Oryctolagus cuniculus: one gene and its partners. The protein of the gene in region 2 binds, or shares a complex with, the protein of the main gene of each other region. Links are inferred from orthologs where the notes say so. Each region holds a gene or a part of one and is shown on either strand. Other genes may lie near its edges.

What was found.
Region 1: TIMM50 (region 2) and TIMM17A share a complex: the UniProt entries of both Homo sapiens proteins name them as parts of the TIM23 complex. The link is inferred for Oryctolagus cuniculus from reciprocal best matches to the Homo sapiens genes TIMM50 and TIMM17A.
Region 3: TIMM50 (region 2) and TIMM17B share a complex: the UniProt entries of both Homo sapiens proteins name them as parts of the TIM23 complex. The link is inferred for Oryctolagus cuniculus from reciprocal best matches to the Homo sapiens genes TIMM50 and TIMM17B.

The regions. Positions count from the first base shown.
Region 1 is NC_091444.1:17,856,210-17,863,514, reverse strand, and holds the start of TIMM17A (mitochondrial import inner membrane translocase subunit Tim17-A), read right to left. Parts: upstream 3,764-7,305; 5' UTR 3,712-3,763; coding exon 3,686-3,711; intron 389-3,685; coding exon 289-388; intron 173-288; coding exon 109-172; intron 1-108. UniProt on the Homo sapiens protein: Essential component of the TIM23 complex, a complex that mediates the translocation of transit peptide-containing proteins across the mitochondrial inner membrane.
Region 2 is NC_091449.1:15,488,732-15,495,942, forward strand, and holds the start of TIMM50 (mitochondrial import inner membrane translocase subunit TIM50), read right to left. Parts: upstream 3,737-7,211; 5' UTR 3,689-3,736; coding exon 3,581-3,688; intron 2,938-3,580; coding exon 2,778-2,937; intron 2,355-2,777; coding exon 2,323-2,354; intron 2,119-2,322; coding exon 2,097-2,118; intron 94-2,096; coding exon 35-93; intron 1-34. Other genes in the region: SUPT5H (transcription elongation factor SPT5), read right to left, coding at 4,857-5,000, 5,081-5,176, 7,195-7,211. UniProt on the Homo sapiens protein: Essential component of the TIM23 complex, a complex that mediates the translocation of transit peptide-containing proteins across the mitochondrial inner membrane. Has some phosphatase activity in vitro; however such activity may not be relevant in vivo.
Region 3 is NC_091453.1:34,070,021-34,077,010, forward strand, and holds the start of TIMM17B (mitochondrial import inner membrane translocase subunit Tim17-B), read right to left. Parts: upstream 4,765-6,990; 5' UTR 4,627-4,764; coding exon 4,601-4,626; intron 3,774-4,600; coding exon 3,674-3,773; intron 1,344-3,673; coding exon 1,280-1,343; intron 1-1,279. Other genes in the region: PQBP1 (polyglutamine-binding protein 1), read left to right, coding at 5,364-5,430. UniProt on the Homo sapiens protein: Essential component of the TIM23 complex, a complex that mediates the translocation of transit peptide-containing proteins across the mitochondrial inner membrane.

The DNA of each region.
Region 1 (7,305 bases), on a different chromosome or scaffold from region 2:
AAGCTGTTAAACCAAACAGGTTTTAATTTAAAAAGAAAAACACTGCTCCATCTTCAAATAAACAGGGAAGGCACATTTTGTAGTACAAATGGAAGAAATCCCGCTCACCTCCCAGCTGTGGAGCCCTGGTTTTAATGGCTGTCAGACTCCCTCGTAGTCTGTGATTTACTCCCTATAAAAAAAGGAAGCAACCAAGGATACATCAGAAGTTTACCGGACGACGTCACCAGTAATATTACCAAACCCAGGTTTCAAGTGATGATAAAATAAAACCATTTGCCCACTTACCACTGGAGAATTGCGAAAACCTTTGATTGCTTGAAAGATACCACCACCTATGGTACCCATTGTAAAGGCCCCACCACAGTCATCCACAATTCGCCAGGGGCTGAGGACAGGGGAAAAAAAAGATGACTGTATTTTTCACAAACCATAAAACCTTGTTTGCTAACACAGAAGGATGCAACAGATTCCAATACAGAGCACATTGCAACTGATAAACATTTGGCCTAAAAAACAAGGACTCTGAGGACGTCCACAGCTATTCAGCCCCAAGTCAGCTAGGCTGGAAGGAACAGAATTAACATTAACCTCCTACTCTTACCAGCACTTTATTTAAACAAACATCAAGATGGGGTAAGCTCTTTGGTAGCTATAAACTTTAAGGCTAAGACTTAATGAAGAGGGTCGGTGCTGTGGCGTAATGGGTAAAGCCACTGCCTGCATCTGGCATCCCATATGGGTGCCAATTCGAGTCCTGGCTGCTGCACTTCCGATCCAGCTCTCTGCTATGGCCTGGGAAAGTGGTGGAAGATGGCCCAAGTCCCTGGGCCTCTGCACCCAGGTGGGAGACCTGGAAGAAGCTCCTAGCTCCTGGCTTCAGATCAGCCCAGCTCTGGCTGTTGCAGCCATCTGGAGAGTGAACTAGCGGATGGAAGACCTTTCTCTCCCTCTCTGTAGCTCTGCTTTTCAAATAAATAAATCTTTAAAAAATTTTTTTTCTTCTCTCTGTAGCTATTGATTCTTCATTAAGTCTATTTATTTATTTATTTGACAGGCCATAGCAGAGAGCTGGATAGGAAGTGGAGCAACCGGGACTCAAACCAGCACCCATATGGGATGCCAGCACTGCAGGCGTCAGCTTTACCCGCTACGCCACAGTGCCAGCCCGAGAAGGAAATTTTTAAAGTTCTGAAAGTTGATGCTAATGTCCAGGTTTAGTGAATCCAAGTAAGCACCTGAACCTTTCATTTGTATCAGATCCAGTTAGCACACTGAACCACTCTTAACAACCAGCTCCAAATGTAGCCTAAATAGTTATGTAATGTACCAAGATCTCAGGAATTTGATCAGACTAGAACCACTACCCTAGGAATATGGTCTATAAGAATCTGCTAAATTCATTTTCAACCCACTGTATGTAAATTTCTTTTATGCAGTCAAGTGCTTTACAATGCATAGAAAACCATAACTTCCAAGAAAGCTAGATTTCTTTCCTACAGAATCACTGATCTTTTAACTCTGAAAAAAGAGTATTTGTCTCCTCTCCATTTTACAGATGAACAGACGCTCCGAGATTAAACAACTTGTCAGAAGTCATGTAGGCAGTACCTAGGAGAACCAACTTAACTAAAATACAGTTCTCCCGAGCCCCCAAGCTCTTCTCACTTCATCACGCAGCCTGTGTGTTCTAGGAAAATGAAGTCTTGAGGATCATTAAAGCCACATGATTTATCATATGGTGCTGGAGGTAAGGAAAGCAATTAGGAAGCTATTGTAAAAGGCATTAAGGGCATCAGGTAAAATCCTGGTCAGAGGAACCGAAAGAAAGAATTTTTCAAAGACTACAGACTGCACATACTGGGGCTGGGGCTGGGGGGTTCTTCTAGTTCTGAGCTCGATGACTTGAGGAAGTGCCAAGGGCAATCAGATCAAAGCAGGGGCTTGAACTGTGGCTCAGCGGGGCAGGCTAAGCGGAGGCTTTTCAGGGCACTGGTTCAAGTTCCAGCTGCTCTGCTTCTGATCCAGCTCCCCACCAATGTGCCTGGGAAAGCAGCAGATGATGGCCAAAGGGCTTGGGATTCCTGTGAGGGGCCAGGCTGGAGTTCCTGGCTCCTGGCTCAGCCCGGCTCAGCCCTGGCTGTTGTGGCCAACTGGGGAAAGAACCAGCACGTGCAAGATCCCTCTGAAGCTCTGCTTTTCAAACAAACAAGTAAACCTTTCAGAAAAGATGAGAGCAGCTTTGACTACTAACTAACTGGGTAACTACCGCACTGCTCCAGGACGTATGCACCAAGGGAAAGCACAGGGGCTGCCTGATGATCTGGTAAAGGAAACCCATCGTTCTTTATGATATCTAACTCAGCAATGTCAAATCTTCTATCTCCCTGCCAACCTGCGCTCTGCAGCACATCCAACAGCAGTTCGCGGTGTGCTGAGGTCTGCGCATCTGAGCAGGATTTAGGAGGCTTTTTTTTTTTTTTTTTTTTTTGACAGGCAGAGTGGACAGTGAGAGAGAGAGACAGAGAGAAAGGTCTTCCTTTGCCGTTGGTTCACCGTCCAATGGCCACCGCGGCCGGCGCACCGCGCTGATCGGAAGGCAGGAGCCAGGTGCTTATCCTGGTCTCCCATGGGGTGCAGGACCCAAGCACCTGGGCCATCCTCCACTGCATTCCCTGGCCACAGCAGAGAGCTGGCCTGGAAGAGGGGCAACCGGGACAGAATCCGGCGCCCCGACCGGGACTAGAACCCGGTGTGCCGGCGCCGCAAGGCGGAGGATTAGCCTAGTGAGCCGCGGCGCCGGCTTAGGAGGCCTTTGAAGAGAGCAGGAGGGGCTGCATCGTCTTATACATGGGGTGGGGGGCGGCATGAAGCAGACCACAGGGCTACCAGGTAGTCATTTAAAGGCCCGGGCACTTCCACAGCTTGAGGACACCTTGGTTCCAGCCCTCACACAGTAAACAGGTGCCTAACCCAAACACCAAGAGTGATTCCTCACCTAGGCCCTCAAAGAACAAGGTGAGGCTCTGACAGCGGTTCCACGCTCCATAATTACGGTTTCTGCTGACTTAGTTAAGCTTCTGTTCCCTGAACCTACCCGAGCGCCAGCGCAGAACCTGCACCCGATGAACGCTGAATTAATGAACGAGTCTCTGCTCATGGCTGTCCAGAGCACACACGCTTTTTCTATTTTCCGAATAATCTTGTGAAGCCCACCCCCTTCCCCACGGGAGAATTCCAAGCAAGAAATCGAGGCTCTGTCCTACTGAAGCTCATCCCAACACCTTGCGTAACGCCCGTCTGCAAGGCCCCAGAACGGCACTGGTTCGAGGCTTATCTCCTCCCTAGCAGAGGGACGTGCCCAAGGTCACCTCGGCGGGCACAGGAGACTGCTACTGGCCCCACACGAGGTCCACTGCGCCCTGCGTTGGGAGGACGTTCTGAGGCCCTGTCAAGCCCAAGCCTGGACCTCCTCCCCACCCACGGCCAGGTCCCAGGCGCTGGGTCGGGTGCGGCGAGGCTCACGCGGCCGGGGACCGGGAAGCCGACGGGCCGTTCGAGTCCCGACTGCCCATGTCCAGAAGCCCGCGGCGGAGTTCGGCAGGCACCCTGGGAGGCTGTAAAAGGGAGAACGAGGGCCGTGGGCAGGGCGTAAAGAGAGGCAAGGGCAGCGGAAAAGACTCACCAAGGCTCCCGAGCGTACTCCTCCATCTTGACTCCAGTGGCGCGAGAGATGCCGGGCAAACTGGGTGGAGCCTGACCCCTGCGGCGGAAGTGATCCCGAGAGGGGGCGTTAAGGTCTATGAGGATTGGTTCGCGGTTTCCCGCCGCAGCCAATGGGAGCGGGGAAGAATGTGGGCGGGGCGGGGCCCTTGTCGTGGCCGCTCTGGCCCCGCCCAAGTCCTCGAAGGCGGCGGGTTCGCGCCCTGTGGGCGGGGAGCTAGCGAGTGACGGAGTTCTTATTACAGCAGTCACCCGAGGTGCCTTGGCCTGAGGTAAACCTGGTGTTACTCCGCTAGGGTTCACCGTTTCTCCGTTTCGGCACTTGTGCTGTGAACTCTGAACCCCTGGATGGGGAGGTCCTGCTACCGCACGCCGCGCCTCCAGGGCAGCCAGCGCCTCGGTCCTTTGTAGTGCGAGCTGCAGGTGCGGGTGGCGCCCTCGACCTGCGGGACAAGGCTCCCCTCCCGTGGGCCCAGCCCCGTGGTTCGGGCAGCTCGCCTGCATTCTGCGCTTCTGCAGTCGACGTGAGAGCCCCCTGGAAGCTTGGGGGTGAGGCAGGGAGGCGAACCCAGCGCCGCAGAGCTGGCGGTTACCAGCAACGCGGGGACAACCTCGTCGGCCGCATGGCCTGTTGGAACGCGTGCGCGTAATTGAGAACGCTCTGATGAATGGTGCAGGCCGAAGAGAGGCTGTGGGAGAGGGGTAGCATGGAAGCCCAGAGCGGGAATGCGTGTGCAGCCAGCCCCCCAGGCCCCGTGGGCGTGAGGCCCTGCGCAGAGGGCCGGGGATGTTTTTCCTGGTCTCACCAGGGCCCCCAGGCCCCGTGGGCGTGAGCCCCTGCGCGGGGGCCGGGGATGTTTTTCCTGGTCTCACCAGGCCCATCCTTTAGCTTGCTACCTGCCTGAGCGCTTATTCCATATTCATTACCCAGTCCTCTGGTTGTCTGGCTCTGACCAGATTTCCATATAAAAGAGCAAGCCCTTGGCGGTGCTGCTAGCTGTTCTTGTTCCTTGGTGGGCAGTGTTGGTTTATGTACCTGTGCTTGTTGTATTTTTCTAAAGCCTAAAAAAAGTATTCATTTGTGTGAAAAGCAGAGAGAGAGAGAGAGAGAGAGAGAGAGAGAGAGAGAATCTTCCATCTGCAGCAACAGTGGAGCTGGGTCAGGCCACAGCCAGGATCCAGGTACTTGAGCCATCATCGGCTGCCTCCCAGGATGGTTGTTAGCAGGAAGCTGGACTCGGGGGAATAGCTGGGACTGAAACTCAGAGAGTGATGTGGGATACAGGTATCCCAAGTGGAATCAACCACTGTGCCAAACACCTGCCCTTAAAATTAATTTTTTGAAATTTCATTTTCTTTTACTTATTTGCAAGGCAGAGAGCCAGAGCGCTCTCCCGGTTGCACTGTGATATGGGTGCAGGTGTCCTAAGCGGTGGCTGAAGTGACCGCACCACAGCACTGTCCTGAGTTTATTTCCTTTGACTCAGTAATCAGGGATGGCCGCAGATCTCCAGAGGGACGCGGCCAATCAGATGCTGGGTAGCTCTGTGTTATGAGTGTTATGAGGCATTGGCTCCCCGCTTTGCGAAGTTTGAGAAGTCCCGTGAGCGGTCTCTGCAAGCTGGAGACCCAGCGGTAGAATTCAGGCCAAGACCAAAGGCCCGGGGCCCAGGGAAGCCCACGATATCAGGGCACATCCTCCTTCCTCAGCCATTTATCCCACTCGGGCCCTCGGTGGATTGCCTGCTGCTCCGGTCCACTGGGAAGGGCAGTCTGTCCTCCTGAGTCCACTGTTCTCGGCCAGAGACCCTCAGAAACACCCCTGGCAAGAGCACGTGATCTGGGCACCCCACGGCCCATGCGGACACATCAGTCGGTAACCTGCACAGGGAAGAGACCGAGTTTCAGAGTTCACAAGCAGAGGTCCGGACACGAGCACTGGTCCCCGCTCCTGGGTCCTCACAGCCCCTGTCCTGAAGGACCTCGCTCTTCTGGGAGGCCTTGCTCCAGAGGCCAGCGAGCGGCCTCAGACATCTCACTCTGGGCTCACTTTCCACTGGAACAACTCTCTCTCTCTCCCTCTCAAATGAACAAATACTTTTTTTTTTTTTTTTTTTTTTTGACAGGCAGAGTGGACAGTGAGAGAGAGAGACAGAGAGAAAGGTCTTCCTTTGCCGTTGGTTCACCCTCCAATGGCTGCCGCGGCTGGCGCGCTGCGGCCGGCGCACCGCGCTGATCCGATGGCAGGAGCCAGGAGCCAGGTGCTTTTCCTGGTCTCCCATGGGGTGCAGGGCCCAAGCACCTGGGCCATCCTCCACTGCACTCCCTGGCCACAGCAGAGGGCTGGCCTGGAAGAGGGGCAATCGGGACAGAATCCAGCGCCCCGACCGGGACTAGAACCCGGTGTGCCGGCGCCGCAAGGCGGAGGATTAGCCTAGTGAGCCGCAGCGCCGGCCCAAATACTTTTTTTAAAAATTTATCTCTTTAAGAGGTAGAGAGAGAGGTCTTCCATCTGCTGGTTCATTCCCCAAATGGCCACAATAGCCGGAGCTGGGCTGATCCAAAACCAGGAGTCAGGAGCTTCTTCTAGGTCTCCCACATGAGTTCAGGGGCCCAAGCACTTGGGCCATTCTCCACTGTTTTCCCAGACCGTAGCAGAGAGCTGGATCGGAAGAGGAACAGCAGGGTCTTGAACCAGTGCCTGTATGCAGCCGCTTTACCCACTACACCACCACACTGGCCCCTGAATAGATATTTTTTTAAATATTTATTTATTTATTTGAAAGTCAGAGCTACACAGAGAGAGAAGGAAAGCCAGAGAGAGAGAGAGAGAGAGGTCTTCCATCCACTGGTTCACTCCCCAATTGGCTACAACAGCCAGGACTGTACTTATCTGAAGCCAGGAGCCAGGAGCCCCTTCTGGGTTTCCCACACGGGTACAGGGGCCCAAGCACTTGGGCCATCCTCCACTGCCTTCCCAGGCCACAGCAGAGAGCTGGACTGGAAGAGGAGCAACCGGGACAGAACCCGGCGCCTATATGGGATGCCAGCACCGCAAGTGGAGGATTAGCCAAGTGAGCTAATAGAATAGATAATTTTAAAAATCTGTTTCAATTTTGTTCCAGGGTGAAGAAACCTTTTGGAAGAAATGTCCCCCAGTGGGTCTTCACTGTGTCAGAGGGCCTCTGGTGGCTGTCACTGGAGCAACAGTGACATGAGGGAAAGGTAGGAGGACGCAGTGGAGATGCTTGGGAGAAAACCCAATGCACAAGCGAGTGAGTTTGAGCTGGTGGTAAACACGACAGGGGGGTGTCTCACTGAAAGCCAGTATCAGGCCTGGCATTGTGGCACAATGGGCAAAGCCACCAGCTAAGATGGTAGCATCCCATAGGGGTGCCAGTTCGAACCCTGGCTGCTTCACCTCCAACCCAGCTTTCTGCTAATGCTCCTGGGAAAGCAACAGAAGATGGCTGAAGTGCTTGGGCCCCTGCACCCACATGGGAGACCTGGAAGAAGCTCCTGGCTCCTGGCTTCCACCTGACCCAGCACTGGCCATTGCAGCCATCTGGGGAATGAATCAGC
Region 2 (7,211 bases):
AGGGACGGGGGCTGGGTCCGGAGCCCCTGCTCACCTGTCTGTAGTCCTTGAAATATTTGTAGGTCCGGCGCAACTGCTGTACCAGAATCGGATCTAGGACACCAGGCACAAGGGTTCCGGGATAAGCCGCTGCTCACCCTCCAGACAGAGTGCGTTCACGAGCGGTCTGATCCTGACTCCCTGGTGTGAACTGGCTCAGCCCCGAGCCCAGAGGTGGAAGCAGCGCGCACTGTCAGGTGAGGGTGGAGGTTTCGCCTGGACACTCCCGACCACACGATGCCGGGCCGCCGGGAACACGCACGCAAATCTGCGGACAGCACGCCAGCACACCCGGCCTATTCTGGGCGAGCAGGCGCCGTGTCTGCCCACTTTGAGCCACGGTGCTGAGTCTAAGTACGCCACACAATACATACGGACAATGGGTATTTGAAACCACCGGTTCTCAACTGGCAACGATTTTGCCTCTCCCTTTCCCTGGGAAACCAGGCAACCTCTGGAGACACTTCTGGCTGTCAGACGCTGGCATCCGGTGGGGGGATGCTAGATACCCTCCCCAGCTACACGGGCAGCAAAGCATCATCTGGCCCCGGGGCCACCAGGGCTGAGGGTGCACAATCTGTTCTAAATAAACACGCTGAGTCGTTTGAGAGGCAGAGAGAGAGAGAGAGAGAGAGAGAGAGAGCGAGAGAGCGAGAGAGAGAGAGAGAGAGAGAGGTATCTTCCATCAGCTGGTTCACTCCTCAAATGGCTCTACCAACCAGGGCTGGGCCAGGCTGAAGCCAGGAACCAGGCATTCCATTGAGGTCTCCCACACGAGTAGAAGGGGCCCAAACAGGTGGGCAGATGAGCCATCAGCGCTGCTTTCCAGGTGCATTGGCAGACAGCTGGCTAGAATCAGCACTCTGACACAGGACACAGGTGGGCGGTCCACGTGGCAGCTGAACCCAGGGCCCCAGAGCCCACCTGCAGCTGAACCCAGGGCCCCAGAGCCCACCTGCAGCAGCTCACAACCACAAACTCCTGTGACTGTCTCCCATGACTTTAAAACAGGATGCAGGTATTTCAAAGTTGGTGGAAAAAATTAAAAGGTAGTTTTGGTGTAAAAACAACTGAACACACGCATAGTTTTCTCACAATACACACCTTCTGTGAAGGCGGGGAGGTACCTGCAGGGCTTCACAGCTCTCCCGATGCGCCTGTCTCAACAATACTATAGCACAGAGGCTCGTGTTTGATACAGAGTCAGGACGCCAACGGGGGTCCCCCATTCCACTCAGCGGGATCTGGGCTCAAGTCCCAGCTCTGCTCCTGAGTTCTACTTCCTGTGCATGTGCCCTGAGAGCTGCAGATGATGGCTCAAGTCCTCGGGTCCCTGCCGCGTAAGAGACCTGGACTGAGCTCCAGGCCCCTGGCTTCAGCCTGGCCCAGCCCCAGCTGTTGCAGATATTTGAGGAGTGAACCAGTGGATGGGAGATCTGTGTCTTTCAAATAAATAATAAATTTTTCTTTAATCACATTATTAAAACCAGCTAAGGCAGTACACATAAACATGATGTTTATCTGCCCAGGAACCAAATGAAATGCCTGTTGATTTGTTCCAGTCAGGATGGTCCTACACCTGCCCAGTTAAAACAGCACATCTGCCCGCTTGCCCAGTTTAATTAGTGCAGTACCGTGCCTGTGTGCAAACTCGCCCAGCAGAGGCCAAGTGGCCTTCTGAAGGCACCAATGTCAGCCTCTCCCGGGCAGGGCTGGGTGGAACAACACTCTGCAATCTGGCAGAACAAACTCCATCCAAAGCCGGGTTGAATGGGGGTAAACTCAGAGGCCGCCACAGAGAGGGGCAGGTGCTCAGACCGAAGGCAGCAGACGCCGTGTCTGTGGATAAGCAGCCTGGTGTCCCCAGGCCCTGCCACCGGGCTCCCCTCCCCCACCTGGCTCTGACCATCTGCTCTCTGAGGGCTAGGTCTCTGTGATGCCCCTCCCAGAAAAGCATCGAGCTGCTGGCTCCCCTCCCCCAGCGCAAGGAGGAGCTGGGGGCACCAGATGGGCAGAGCTGGCTGCGTCAGGGACTCAGTCTCTGCTTGTTGACTCACCATTGTCGAACTCATCAGGAATCTGGGAAGCAGAGAGAAAATGCAAAGTTTGGGGTGGCAGAGGCAGACCCCACCACCACCCAGCAAAGCGATCTCCAGGGCCTGATTCCAGGTAGGGAGGGGCTTGCCCTAGACCCAAAAGGAGCCAGAGCGGACCCAAAGGAGGCCCTGACACCCACCCACAGGCTGGGACTCCTGGCAAGGCCTCTGGTCTCTTTCCACTCACCTTGGCACCGTTTTCATCCACAGGGTTGTTTCCTGCAAGGGAGACAGGAGTGAGGGAGAGGAGCTGGGCGCTGCCTCCTGGGTCTTGGAGGAGATGGGGGACAGGGGGCATAAGTGCACCAGAGACACGGCCTCCTGGGTTGGGGGGGACGGAGCCCCCTGGTGTCTGAGCGATGACTGTGCTGGACTGTGGCTGCAGGGAGGAGACACAGCCCAGGAGGCTGGTCCAGGCCTTCCCCACCTCCCCTCTTCCAGTGGCTCCCCACAGCCTCGTACAGGAGCCGACCAGTTAGAGTAGAACCTTACACAGGGGTGAGAGAGACGAAAGGAGACCCCCGATTTCCAAAGCAGGTTTCCTACTTGGTGGCCCTGTGCAGGGAAGCGCCCGGGAGTGAAGATGAGTGGCCCAGGGGCGGCCCCAGGGGAACAGAGAACTGGGGGGCCGGGGCGTCTCACCGAAGATGTAGACGATGCTCACGGTCCCGCCGGCCCCAAGCAGCCCAGCAAGCCAGAGCGCGACTTTCTTGGCATAGCTGGGACCCTCGGAGCCCGGCGGCTGCTGCTGCTGTGGTCCCGGGGCCTTGGCTCCCCCGCGGCTCCCAATTTCCGCAGCAGCCTGTGGTGGAGAAGGGGGTGAGGCCCTGCGGCGCGGAGGGCGCTTAGCCTGTCCCGCGGAAGGAGCCCGGGGCGCGGGGGCTGGCGGGCCGTGGGTGTCAGGAGCGCCGCGGGCCCCACACACGGGGCGTTGGGCCGGGAGGTCAAGGCGTCCGGACGCCCAGAGGGGCGGGGGCGGGCAGGGGCGATCGCTTGTCTGGGGGTTGGGAAAGTGGCGCAAGGAGGCCACGGACTTGGAGGTCAGAATGGCTGGGTCCCGTCAGCACGGAGGCGGGTCGAACTGGACGCCTGACGTCCAGCTCACCTGCCCCACGCCCGAGGCGGACAAGAAAACCTCAAGGCCAGGCTGGGGCTCTCCCGCAACTAGCGCCGGAGTGGTCCCCGAGGTAGGGAGCAGGCGACCCTCCGCCCCCGGCGCCCACGTGGCTGAGAGCGGAGGTGCAGAGGGTGCACTCGGGCCCCAGCATCCGGCCGGAGGAGAGCGCAGCGTTCGCTCCGGGAGGCACGGAGCCGGCCCGAAGGGCGGGCAGTGTTCCATTCAGCACCCTGAGGTGCGGCATCCCAGAGCCACTGGGCGGCAGCTCCCTGTCTAAAACTCCAAGGCGCGGCCGCCGCGCCCGCAGCGCCTGGCCTGTCCCGCTCACCTGGTCTGGGGCCCCGGGGGGCGGCGTCGCCAACCGCGTGCACAGCCCCCGCGCGCCGAGCCGGAGCCCGCTCCGCAAGCGCGAGAACAGCGCCGCCGAGGCCGCCATCTTGCGCTGACGCCACGAGGCCCCGCCCAGTCTCCCCGCTCTGCCCGCCCCGACCTGGGCCTGCGGCCAATCGGGGCACAGAGGAGGGACGGGCGGACGGGAGCCCGAGAGACCCAAAAGGCCTTGGGCGGACTGCCGCCGGCGCGCTCGCTCCTGACCAGTGTCCTGGCTGTCCTCGGGGCCCGTCAGCCGGGATATGGCCACCTAGCTCCAGTCCTGGGGAGCACCACTGGTACTGAAACTGGACGTGGCAGGGGCAGGGGTCACACTCACGGCTACCCGATTTGCCCCCAAAAACTGATAAGGAATCAGCTCATCTCGGCCCCTGGGGGGTTCTGCCTTCACCTCCTAATTGCCCTAAGTGAAACCAGCAGCGGGCGTGTAGCCTAGCGGTTAGGGCGCCCAGCGTCCCACACCGTATCACCTGGGTCTGATACCCGGCTCCAGGGCCGACTCCACGGGAGACCGGGGCTGAGCGCCCGGCAGGTGGGGCGAGCCAGCAGGTGGCGCTGTCCCCGTGTCAAATGAAGGGAAGGAGGCTCGGGACCCAGGCAGTTCTCTCCACTGCTCCTCCTCCTGCCGAGCGGGGCTTGGACGCTGCTCTCCTCGCCTTTCCCTAGGTCTTTCCTCCGTGGGGAAGCTGAGGCTTGGGTAAGAACTGACCCCACTTACAAACAAGGCCAGGCTCAGGCATCCGGCGCTGGGCGGGCATCCCATACGGGCGCCGGTTCGAGTCCCGGCTGCTCCACTTCCAACCCAGCTCCCTGCTATGGCCTGGGAAAGCAGCAGAAGATGGCCCAAGTCCTTGGGCCCCTGCACCCACGTGGGAGACCCAGGAGGCTCCTGGCTCCTGATCAGCTCAGTTCCAGCCGTTGTGGCCATTTGGGGAGTGAACCAGTGGATGGAAGATCTCTGTTATCTACCCCTCAAATAAATAAATTAAATTTTAAAAAAGACCAGGCTCAGCACTTTTGACCAAACAGCTTTTTATTGAAAGATCGTAACTCAAAAGCAAGCCGGGGGCTGGGGTACAAGAAAGTGGGGCCCCTCCTCCGGACTCTACTCTGATTCCTAGGAGCATGGGGGGGAGGTGACCCAGAGAGGACACCAAGGCAGTCCAGGCCGGCCAGCCCGGCCACTCTGCCTGCGCCTCGGCCCCAGGCACGCCTCAGGCCTCCAGCAGCTTCCCCAGGAAGCGGAGGTTGAGGATCTTGAGCTGCTCGTCCAGGTCCATGCGGACGATGCCGTCCTCACCGTCAATGCTCAGCAGCACTCCCGTGGCTTCCCGGTCCTCTCCCAGGATCACCTTCACCTGCGGGAGGCAGTCAGAGTCAGGGCCCCGCGTCCTCCACCCCCCACCCTCGGCCCCCGCCCCTCGGCCCCCGGCCTCACCTTGTTGTTCTTGGTGGGGGTGATGGGCTCCAGGTGCTCGCTGGAGATGCTGACCACCTTCTCACTGTCCTTCAGGTACACGGAGCACATGCCTCCCTGCAGGGGCACAGCCTGCTCAGCTGCCCTGTCCAGCACAGGACTGAGCCCGCATTCAGGCTCACTCGCAACACGCAAGTCACTTTCCCAAGATGACTCGGCGGCAGCAAAGGCCAGGCTGGGCCAGCTTCCGGGGCCTGGGTCTATGCAGCAGTAGGGGGTGCCCGGATCAGCGGGGAAGCACCAGATGCAGCCGTTTCAGGCCAGAAGGGGGCAGCTTCTCGGACTCGTGCCCCACGGCCCCAGCTCTGGCCGGCTTCTTCCCCCACGTGCTCCTTTTCCTAGGCCCTGGTTTCAGGGGCAGCCCCACAGTCCCCAGTCCTTAACCTGACCTCTGGACATCATGTGGTCACTTCCCTGACAACCCTGAGCTTTGAGGTCTGTCCACTCAGCCTCCTGGGGGTCTCTTCCACCTGTCTCCCTCCTCTTCATGGCTCTCCTGGGAACAGCGGAGCCTCCTGGACTCCCAGCCCCTGATTCCACCATGCCCACCCAGTACACTCCTGATAGAGCAACACATAAAGGACTCCAGACCACAGATCTCATCCCATCTCCCTACTTAGTCTTCCATGGCTCCCCAGGGTCCTCTGCACAGTCCAAGATCCTCGAGCCAGAGGTGGCTCAACCACTTCTCAGCCTCATCACTCACCCTCCTGTTGACCGATATGGTCCAGCTATAATATACACACTTCACCCCAACACATGGAGGCCTGGCCTCGGCTCCCGGCCCTCACACACACAACTCCCACTATGTGGCGCACCACGAGCCCCTCCCTGGCCATTCTGCTTGCCTTACTCCTGTTCACTCTCCAGGTCCTGCCTCAGAGGCCATCTTCTCCAGGAAACCTTCCCTGGGCTGCCTACCCCAGTTCTGCCCACTCTGGGCCGTCTTCCCCAGGGGACAGCGAGGGCTGTTGGGGAGGCCTACAGCTACTGTGGTCTCTGGTACTGGTTTAATTAATACTGACTAGAGGCCAACAAGGTGTTGGTCCTCACCTAGGCAGGAAGTGGGGTGCCTGAGGAGTAAGACACGGGCTCTCTAACCCAAGAACCACAGCAGAGAAGGCGGTGCATCTTAAGCAGCAGGTGCACGACATAAAGACTTACACAGGCGCCTGCAGGGAAGTGAAAGGCAGACAGAGTAGAGTTTCTGTGCAAAGGCCCTGAGACTGGCGGGAACTCTGAGCTGGTGGGAGAGGCCCCTGAGCACAAGCCTGACACTTGGTACATTTTACTGGACTGATTTCTCAAAGGACCCTCAAAACAAGCCACACTGTGAGCCACGCTTTGTTCTAGGCTATGGGGCTTCAGCCGTGAGCACAACAGGCAGAAATCCACACGTGAGTGCCAGGGTCCGACTCCCAACTCAAGCTCCTGACTCCAGCTTCCTGCCAGTGGGCATCCCAGGACACAGGAGTGATGGCCAAGTCCTGACCACCCATATGGGAGACCTGGATTGAGTTCCCAGCTCCTGGCTCCAACCCCACAGTGAGTGCATATGGGGAATAAACTAGTGTATAGGAGTTCTCTCTCTCTCAAATCAATTTTTAAAAAAGCACCACAGGCCGGCGCCGCGGCTCACTAGGCTAATCCTCCGCCTAGCGGCGCCGGCACACCGGGTTCTAGTCCCGGTCGGGGCGCCGGATTCTGTCCCGGTTGCCCCTCTTCCAGGCCAGCCCTCTGCTGTGGCCAGGGAGTGCAGTGGCGGATGGCCCAGGTGCTTGGGCCCTGCACCCCATGGGAGACCAGGAAAAGCACCTGGCTCCTGGCTCCTGCCATCGGATCAGCGCGGTGTGCTGGCCGCAGCGCGCCGGCCGCGGCGGCCATTGGAGGGTGAACCAACGGCAAAAAGGAAGACCTTTCTCTCTGTCTCTCTCTCTCTCACTGTCCACTCTGCCTGTCAAAAAATAAAAAAAAAAAAAAAAAAAAAAAAAAAAAAAAAAAAGCACCACAGACTTCAGGGGAAGATCAGCAAGGGGAGGGGCTCCCGCCTGCCCACCGCCCTGGGCCCCACGTACCGTGACGCTGCGGATGA
Region 3 (6,990 bases), on a different chromosome or scaffold from region 2:
CTATGAAAATCAGTTAGAAGATTTTGTATGCTTTTACCATAAAGAAATGTTAAATATTTGAGGCAATATATATATATATTTACTCTGATTGGACATTACACAATGTACACATGCATCAAAAGATCACATGGGGAGGGCAGCACTGTGGTGTAAAGCTGCCACCTGTGACACCAGCATCCCACATGGGCACCGGTTCAAGTCCTGGCTGCTCACTTCTGACCCAGTTCCCTGCTAATGCACCTAGGAAAGCAGCAGAGGATGGCCCAAGTGCTGGGCCCCTGCACCTATGTGGGAGACCTGGAAGCTTTGGGCTCCTGGTTTCGGTCTGGCCCAGTCCTGGCCATTGCAGCCATTTAGGGAGTGAACCAGCAGATGGAAGATGTCTCTCCCTCTGTCTCTGCTTCTCCCTCTCTCTCTCTCTCTGTAGCCCTGTGTTTCAAAAAAATAAAATAAATCTTAAAAAAATATATAAGATCACATGGTTCTCCACAAGCAGACACTATTTTTATATATCTGTTAAAAAGTTAGATTAAAAAAATTCCCAAACTGCAACATTTCTGGTTCCTTGCAGTTTGAATACTGATACTCATTATGCTTATAGTTAAAATGGTTACTGAGGGCTCATCAAGTGCCAGGAACTATTCGAGATACTTGACTTCAGCAATTTAGAATTAGTTAAGAATATTAAAGCTCGGGGCCAATGCTGTGGCAAGGCAGGTTAAAGTCCTGGTCTGCAGCACTGGCATCCCATATGGGTGCCAGTTCGAGTCTCGGCTGCTCCACTTCCAATCCAGCTCTCTGCTAAGGCCTGGGAAAGCAGTGGAAGATGGCCCAAATGCTTGGGCCCCTGCACCCATGTAGGAGACCCAGAAGCTCCTAGCTCCTGGCTTTGGATGGGCTCAGCTCCAGCCATTGCGGCCATTTAGGGAGTGAACCAGTGGATGGAAAACCTCTCTCTCTCTCTCTCTCTCTCTCTGTGTGTGTGTCTCCACCTCACTCTGTAACTCTTTCAAATAAATAAAATAAATCTTTAATAAAAGAATATTAAAGTGCTTAGCATAACCACCTCTAAACTAAAAGTAACACAGGACCTGGATTTGAACTCTAGAAATGATTCTTGTCCCCTCGGTATTCAGTTGTTGGAAAATGCCACCCACCTGGGAAGTCTCAGGCAGAGCTAGGGCTACAATCTGGACCCCCAACTTGTAGTCTAGTCCTAAAGGATCACCTTACCCCCACCTTTGCCATCACATGTCCTGTGTCTCCCCAAGCCCCTCACCTCCAATCTGGGGGGCTCGGATCCTCACCGCGTTGATACTACCTCTCAACCGGTGCCGCATTCCCTGGGGAAAGTAAGGAAGGGAGTCAGGGCAGGGTCCCGGCCACTAGTAGACAGGGCTTCTAGTTTTTAAGAGAATGTAGGGAATGGGAGATCTGTTTAATACTGAGAAGCAGCAAAGAACTAGGGGCCTGGTGAGCACCCCAACATGAGTATCCTTGGAGCTGGGTTGGTAAGTGTTCATTCATTCATTTGTTGGCTCATTCATTTAATGAATGACTAATGGGCATCTACTATGTGCCAGGCACTATGTTACAAGCAGGGATACAGCAGCGAATGGGGTAGATCCGGGCTCTGTCCTCCCAAAGCTTACATCAGTGGAAGGCAGATCCTGAGCAAGAGTACACACAAACAAGACAGATGCGGGCAGCAATATGCACTCCGAGGAGACAGGTTAAGAGAAGTGATCATGGCTGAGGGACAGGAAAGGCCTCTTCACAAAGGGGACATTTGTGCTGAAATTGTGACGATGAGAAACACAAAGATCTGGGAAAGGGAGTTCCAGGAGTTGAGAGGAGGGACAGAGCTACATATAAAAACTGCAGAGGACTGGACCTTGTGGTGCAGTGGCTTAAGGCCCTGCTTTGGATACCAACATCACATATGTGAGTGCCAGTTCAGGTCCAGGCTGCTCTGTTTCCTAAACAACTTCCGGCTAATACATCTTGGGAGGCAGTAGATGATGATTCAAGTGCCTGTGCCCCTGTCAGCCACATGGGAAACCCAGATGGAATTCCGGGCTCCTGGCTTCAGCCTAGTCCAGTCCTGGCTGTGGTGGGCAGTTGAAGAGTAAACCAGCGCATGGGCGCTCTCTCTTTCTATCACTCTGCCTTTCAAGTAGAGGGAAATAAATAAAACATTTGTTTAAAAATTACAGACTGGGGCAAGCATTTGGCCTATTGGTTAAAGCACCCACATCCCATATTGGAGTGCTTGGGCTTGATCCCCACCACTAGTTCCTGTTTTTAAGATTTATTTTATTTATTTGAAAGGCAGTGGGACAGAGAGAGGGGGAAAAACAGAAAAAGGGGTCTTCCACCTGCTGGTTCACTCCCCAAATGGCTGAAGCCAGGAGCCAGGAACTCCATCTGAGTCTCTCCCATGTGGGTGGCAGGGACCCAAATACCTGGGCCATCTTCTATGGCCCTCCCAAGCGCATTAGCAGGGAGCTGAATCAGAAGCAGATCAGGTGGGACTTGAACCAGAGCTCTGCTATGGGATGCTGGTGTCAAAAGCAGCAGCTTAACATAAATGCCTTCCAGCCCCAATTCCTGAGTCCAGCTCCCTGTGAATTCAGACCCTGGAAGGTAGCAGGTGATGGCTCAAGTCATTAGGCTCCTGCTATCCATCTGAGAGAGCTGGATTGAGTACCTGGCTCCTGGCTTTGGCCCAGGCTGTTGTGGACATTTGGGGAGTGTGCTCTCTTTTTTTTTTATTTTTTTTATTTTTTTTTATTTTTTGACAGGCAGAGTGGACAGTGAGAGAGAGAGACAGAGAGAAAGGTCTTCCTTTGCCGTTGGTTCACCCTCCAATGGCCGCCGCGGCCGGCGCGCTGCAGCCGGCGCACCGCGCTGATCCGATGGCAGGAGCCAGAAGCCAGGTGCTTTTCCTGGTCTCCCATGGGGTGCAGGGCCCAAGCACCTGGGCCATCCTCCACTGCACTCCCTGGCCACAGCAGAGGGCTGGCCTGGAAGAGGGGCAACCGGGACAGAATCCGGCGCCCCGACCGGGACTAGAACCCGGTGTGCCGGCGCCGCTAGGCGGAGGATTAGCCTATTGAGCCGCGGCGCCGGCCCGGGAGTGTGCTCTCTTGCTCGTTTGTGCTCTCTCCTGGCCCCTCTGGCTCTCAAATAAATCAAGAGATCATGACAAATGGTGATACATAAAGCCATGACATTTGATGACATTTTGTTTTTTGGCGGGGAGGGGAGTCAGGGAAATAAACCGAAGTATGTTAAATTAAAATGATTTTCTCAACTTTAAGGCTGTCCTCCTTCTGTCACTTCACTCCATCCAGGTTGAAGACCCAGCATCTGCCTCTAAAATCTATTTGGTTTTGCACACACACACACACACACACACACACACTCGGGACTGGGGAAGAATGTTTTTACAGCACATTTCCACCGAGGAGGTCCAGCTGGGTGGGGGAAGGGGACAAGAGGTCACATCTGCAGTTCCCCAGGTCCAGGAGCCAGGTCTGGCACATAGTAGGTGAATAGGGACCAGAAGAAGTTAAGTGCATTGGCCTGGCAGCTCCAAGCAGCTTTTAGAGTAGCGTCCTATGTGGGCAAGGCTGCTGACCCCCACACCACCCGGTGGGCCAGGACTCACAACAGGGGCGTTGCGGAAACCCTTGATGGCCTGGAAGACTCCGCCGCCGATGACACCCATGGTGAAGGCTCCACCGCAATCATCCACAATTCGCCATGGGCTGAAAAACCGGAAGGGAAGGTTGGGGTTAATGGGAGCCCCTCCCCTCCCTGGACTCTCTCCAAGTGGGAGAAACCAGTCACTGGAATGGCAAGTTTGTGAGTGAGAAGAAACACTTCAGATAACAACGAGCTAGTTCTGTCATTCTTTTTCCCTGATGAAATCGAGAAATGGGGCAAAAGGGGAAAAATAATAGTCTCTGCCTTGATCACCTTTTGCAGGCATCCAAGGAATCAGCCAATTACTTTACTAGCAAATATTAAATGAACTGAGGCATGTAGAGTTGGCGCATTTCAGTAAGGGTTACGGAAGTGTTAACTGGCTAGTTATTAAAAACGAGGTGACAGCCCCTTCTGGGACAGTGGCATCCAACCAAGCCTTGTCCCCTCCTCCTCTTAAACCAAGCACAACTGAGAAAAACCCAGAGGCCCGTTGGGAAAATCCAGCACCCCTCCTCACCCACAATAGGTTCACGCATGCCCCGCCCCGATTCACACAAGCGACCTGGGAAAAACCATGCGTGCCACCCTCCACCCACGCTGGAATGGACTGGACCAGCGTCTCTGCTCGCTAACAAAGAGGAACAGGAGCCACAAAGCCAGGGACAACATGGCGTGGTTCGTCCTGTACCGCCCCTTCTCTGGGCACACAGTTGTGGCCCCTTTTAAAGAACCCCGAAAGGAAGGAAGTACAGGGAGCGGAAGGCGAGAAGATTCTAAGTCTCCCTAATCTGGGACGCCGCACTGTGCGGCCGGTGCCTCCCCCGCCCGCCTCCCATGGCTGGTCTTGGGGCAGCAACAGTCCCGATGCCTGTGCCCATCGCCGTACCAAGGCTCCCGAGCATACTCCTCCATGGCGCCGGCGTCTGGAGGCACAGTCAGGCCCGAATCCTGTGGGCCACGCCCCCAGTGGAAACGCACCACAGGCGCTCTAGCTCTTCGCCTATCCCAGGACAGCGATTGGGTGGCTTCGCCACGTCAAACGCAGGACGCTTCTCATTGGACACCCAGGATAACGTCATCTTTCCACTGCAGTCCCAGCGTCTTCCAGTTACGTCTTGGCTCGGGTATTGAGTACGCCGTTGTGTGCTTTGGGGGAAACGAGTGGTGTGGTCCTGGTGATCAGAGCAGTGGCGAGAGGAAGGAGGCTGTTCTTTCTACCTGCCCGACTGTACTGGTAACGCGGGGAGGGGGAGGGGGGCATGGTTTTGCAGAGCTGGAGGAAGGGCTGCATTCCGCTCCCCCACCCCAGGGCTTTGGTTTTTCCCACCCAGCAGTCTTTGAGGGAGGTTGGGTGAGCCAGTTTCTGAAGCTGCGCTTGGCGCCTTTGGCGGTGGGTGGAGCCCGGGAGAGGAAGTGGATCCTGGAGCTCCGGGCCTAGTAAGTGAGCGGCTGGAAGGAGTTTTGTGACATTTGCAAGCCTCTTGTCTCTCGTGTTTTAGCGCATAGGTTGAGTCCGCCCAGCTAGCTCCTGGTGTATTTGGGAAGGTGAGAGTCCGATGAGTACATGCTACGGGAGGGATGAGCTCTGGGTTATGGGATCCAGATTTGAATCCTCATCAGTCTGTCTGTCCCCAGATCTGTCACCCGCTATGCCGCTGCCCGTCGCGCTGCAGACTCGCTTGGCTAAGAGAGGCATCCTCAAACATCTGGAGCCTGGTAAGAGAGCTAAGAGCAGATGGGCGTATCATGTATCAAGCCTGATAGGCCCTTTTTTCATTGATATGGACACTAAACACTCAGCGTGGACCTTCTGTGCTCTAAGCCGTGGCATGGCAAGGATTCCTGATGTCCATTCCTTTTGCAAACCATGCAATGTGTGTGTTTGTGGGGGGAGGGGGAGGTTGAAAAGATGCATATTTCATTCTTAACAATACACAACACTGATGCAAATTTCGGGCCTCCACGAATCACATGGAGGTAAATGCATAGTATTTAATAGGCTATGTGTCAAGTCCAGGATGTTGTTGTTTTTTTCGACTTACTCATTTGGGGCTGGTGCTGTGGTGTAGCGGGTAAAGCTGCCATCTGCAGTGCCGGCTTCCCAAATGGGCTGGTTCAAGTGCAGCCTGTTCCATTTCCAATCCAGCTCTCTGCTGAGGCCTGGGAAAATAGTGGAAGATGGCCCAAGTCCTTGGGCCCCTGCACCCGTGTGGGAGACTGGAAAGAAGCTCCTGGCTCCTGGTTTTGGATCAGCGCAGCTCTGGCCATTGTGGCCATCTGGGGAGTGAACCAGCAGATGGAAGACCTCTGTCTCTCTCTCTCTCTCTTTCTGCCTCTGTGTATCTCTCTCTCTGCCTCTGCCTCTCTGTAACTCTGACTCAAATAAAAATCTTTTTTTTTTTTTTTTGACAGGCAGAGTGGACAGTGAGAGAGAGACAGAGAGAAAGGTCTTCCTTTGCCGTTGGTTCACCCTCCAATGGCCGCCATGGCCGGCACGCTGCGGCCTGCGCACCGCTCCGATCCGATGGCAGGAGCCAGGCGCTCCTCCTGGTCTCCCATGGGGTGCAGGGCCCAAGGACTTGGGCCATCCTCCACTGCCTTCCTGGGCCACAGCAGAGAGCTGGCCTGGAAGAGGGGCAACCGGGACAGAATCCGGCGCCCCGACCGGGACTAGAACCCGGTGTGCCGGCGCCGCTAGGTGGAGGATTAGCCTATTGAGCCGCGGCGCCGGCCTCAAATAAAAATCTTTTAAAAATATTTTAAAGAAAAGATTTATTTATTTGAAAGGTAGAGTTACAGAAAGGCAGAGAGAGAGAGAAAACTCTTCAATCCTCTGGTTCACTCCCCAAATGGCTGCAATGGCTGGAGCCGTGCCCATCCAAAGCCAAGAACCAGGAGCTTCTTCCTGGTCTCCTGTACGAGTGCAGGGGCCCAAGGACTTGGGCCATCTTCTGCTTTCCCAGCCCACAGCAGAGAGCTAGATGAAAAGTGGAACAACAAGGACTCGAACTGGCACCCATATGGGATGCCGTTGCTGCAGGTGGATGCTTAACAAAGTTGCAGGCAGATGATTAACCTACTTTGTCACAATATCAGGCCCCAGGATGTTGCTTTTGTTTACCATACTGATAGAATGTATTTTAGAAGTGCTGTGTTGGAAACAGAGTTAACATGTATTTTAGACCACCCAAAATGCCTGAAATGCACATGATGGTTAGCACTGAGGGTGTTTCCAAAAGTTTGTGGAAAAATGAAAAGGTGAGTTTAGGGACAGCT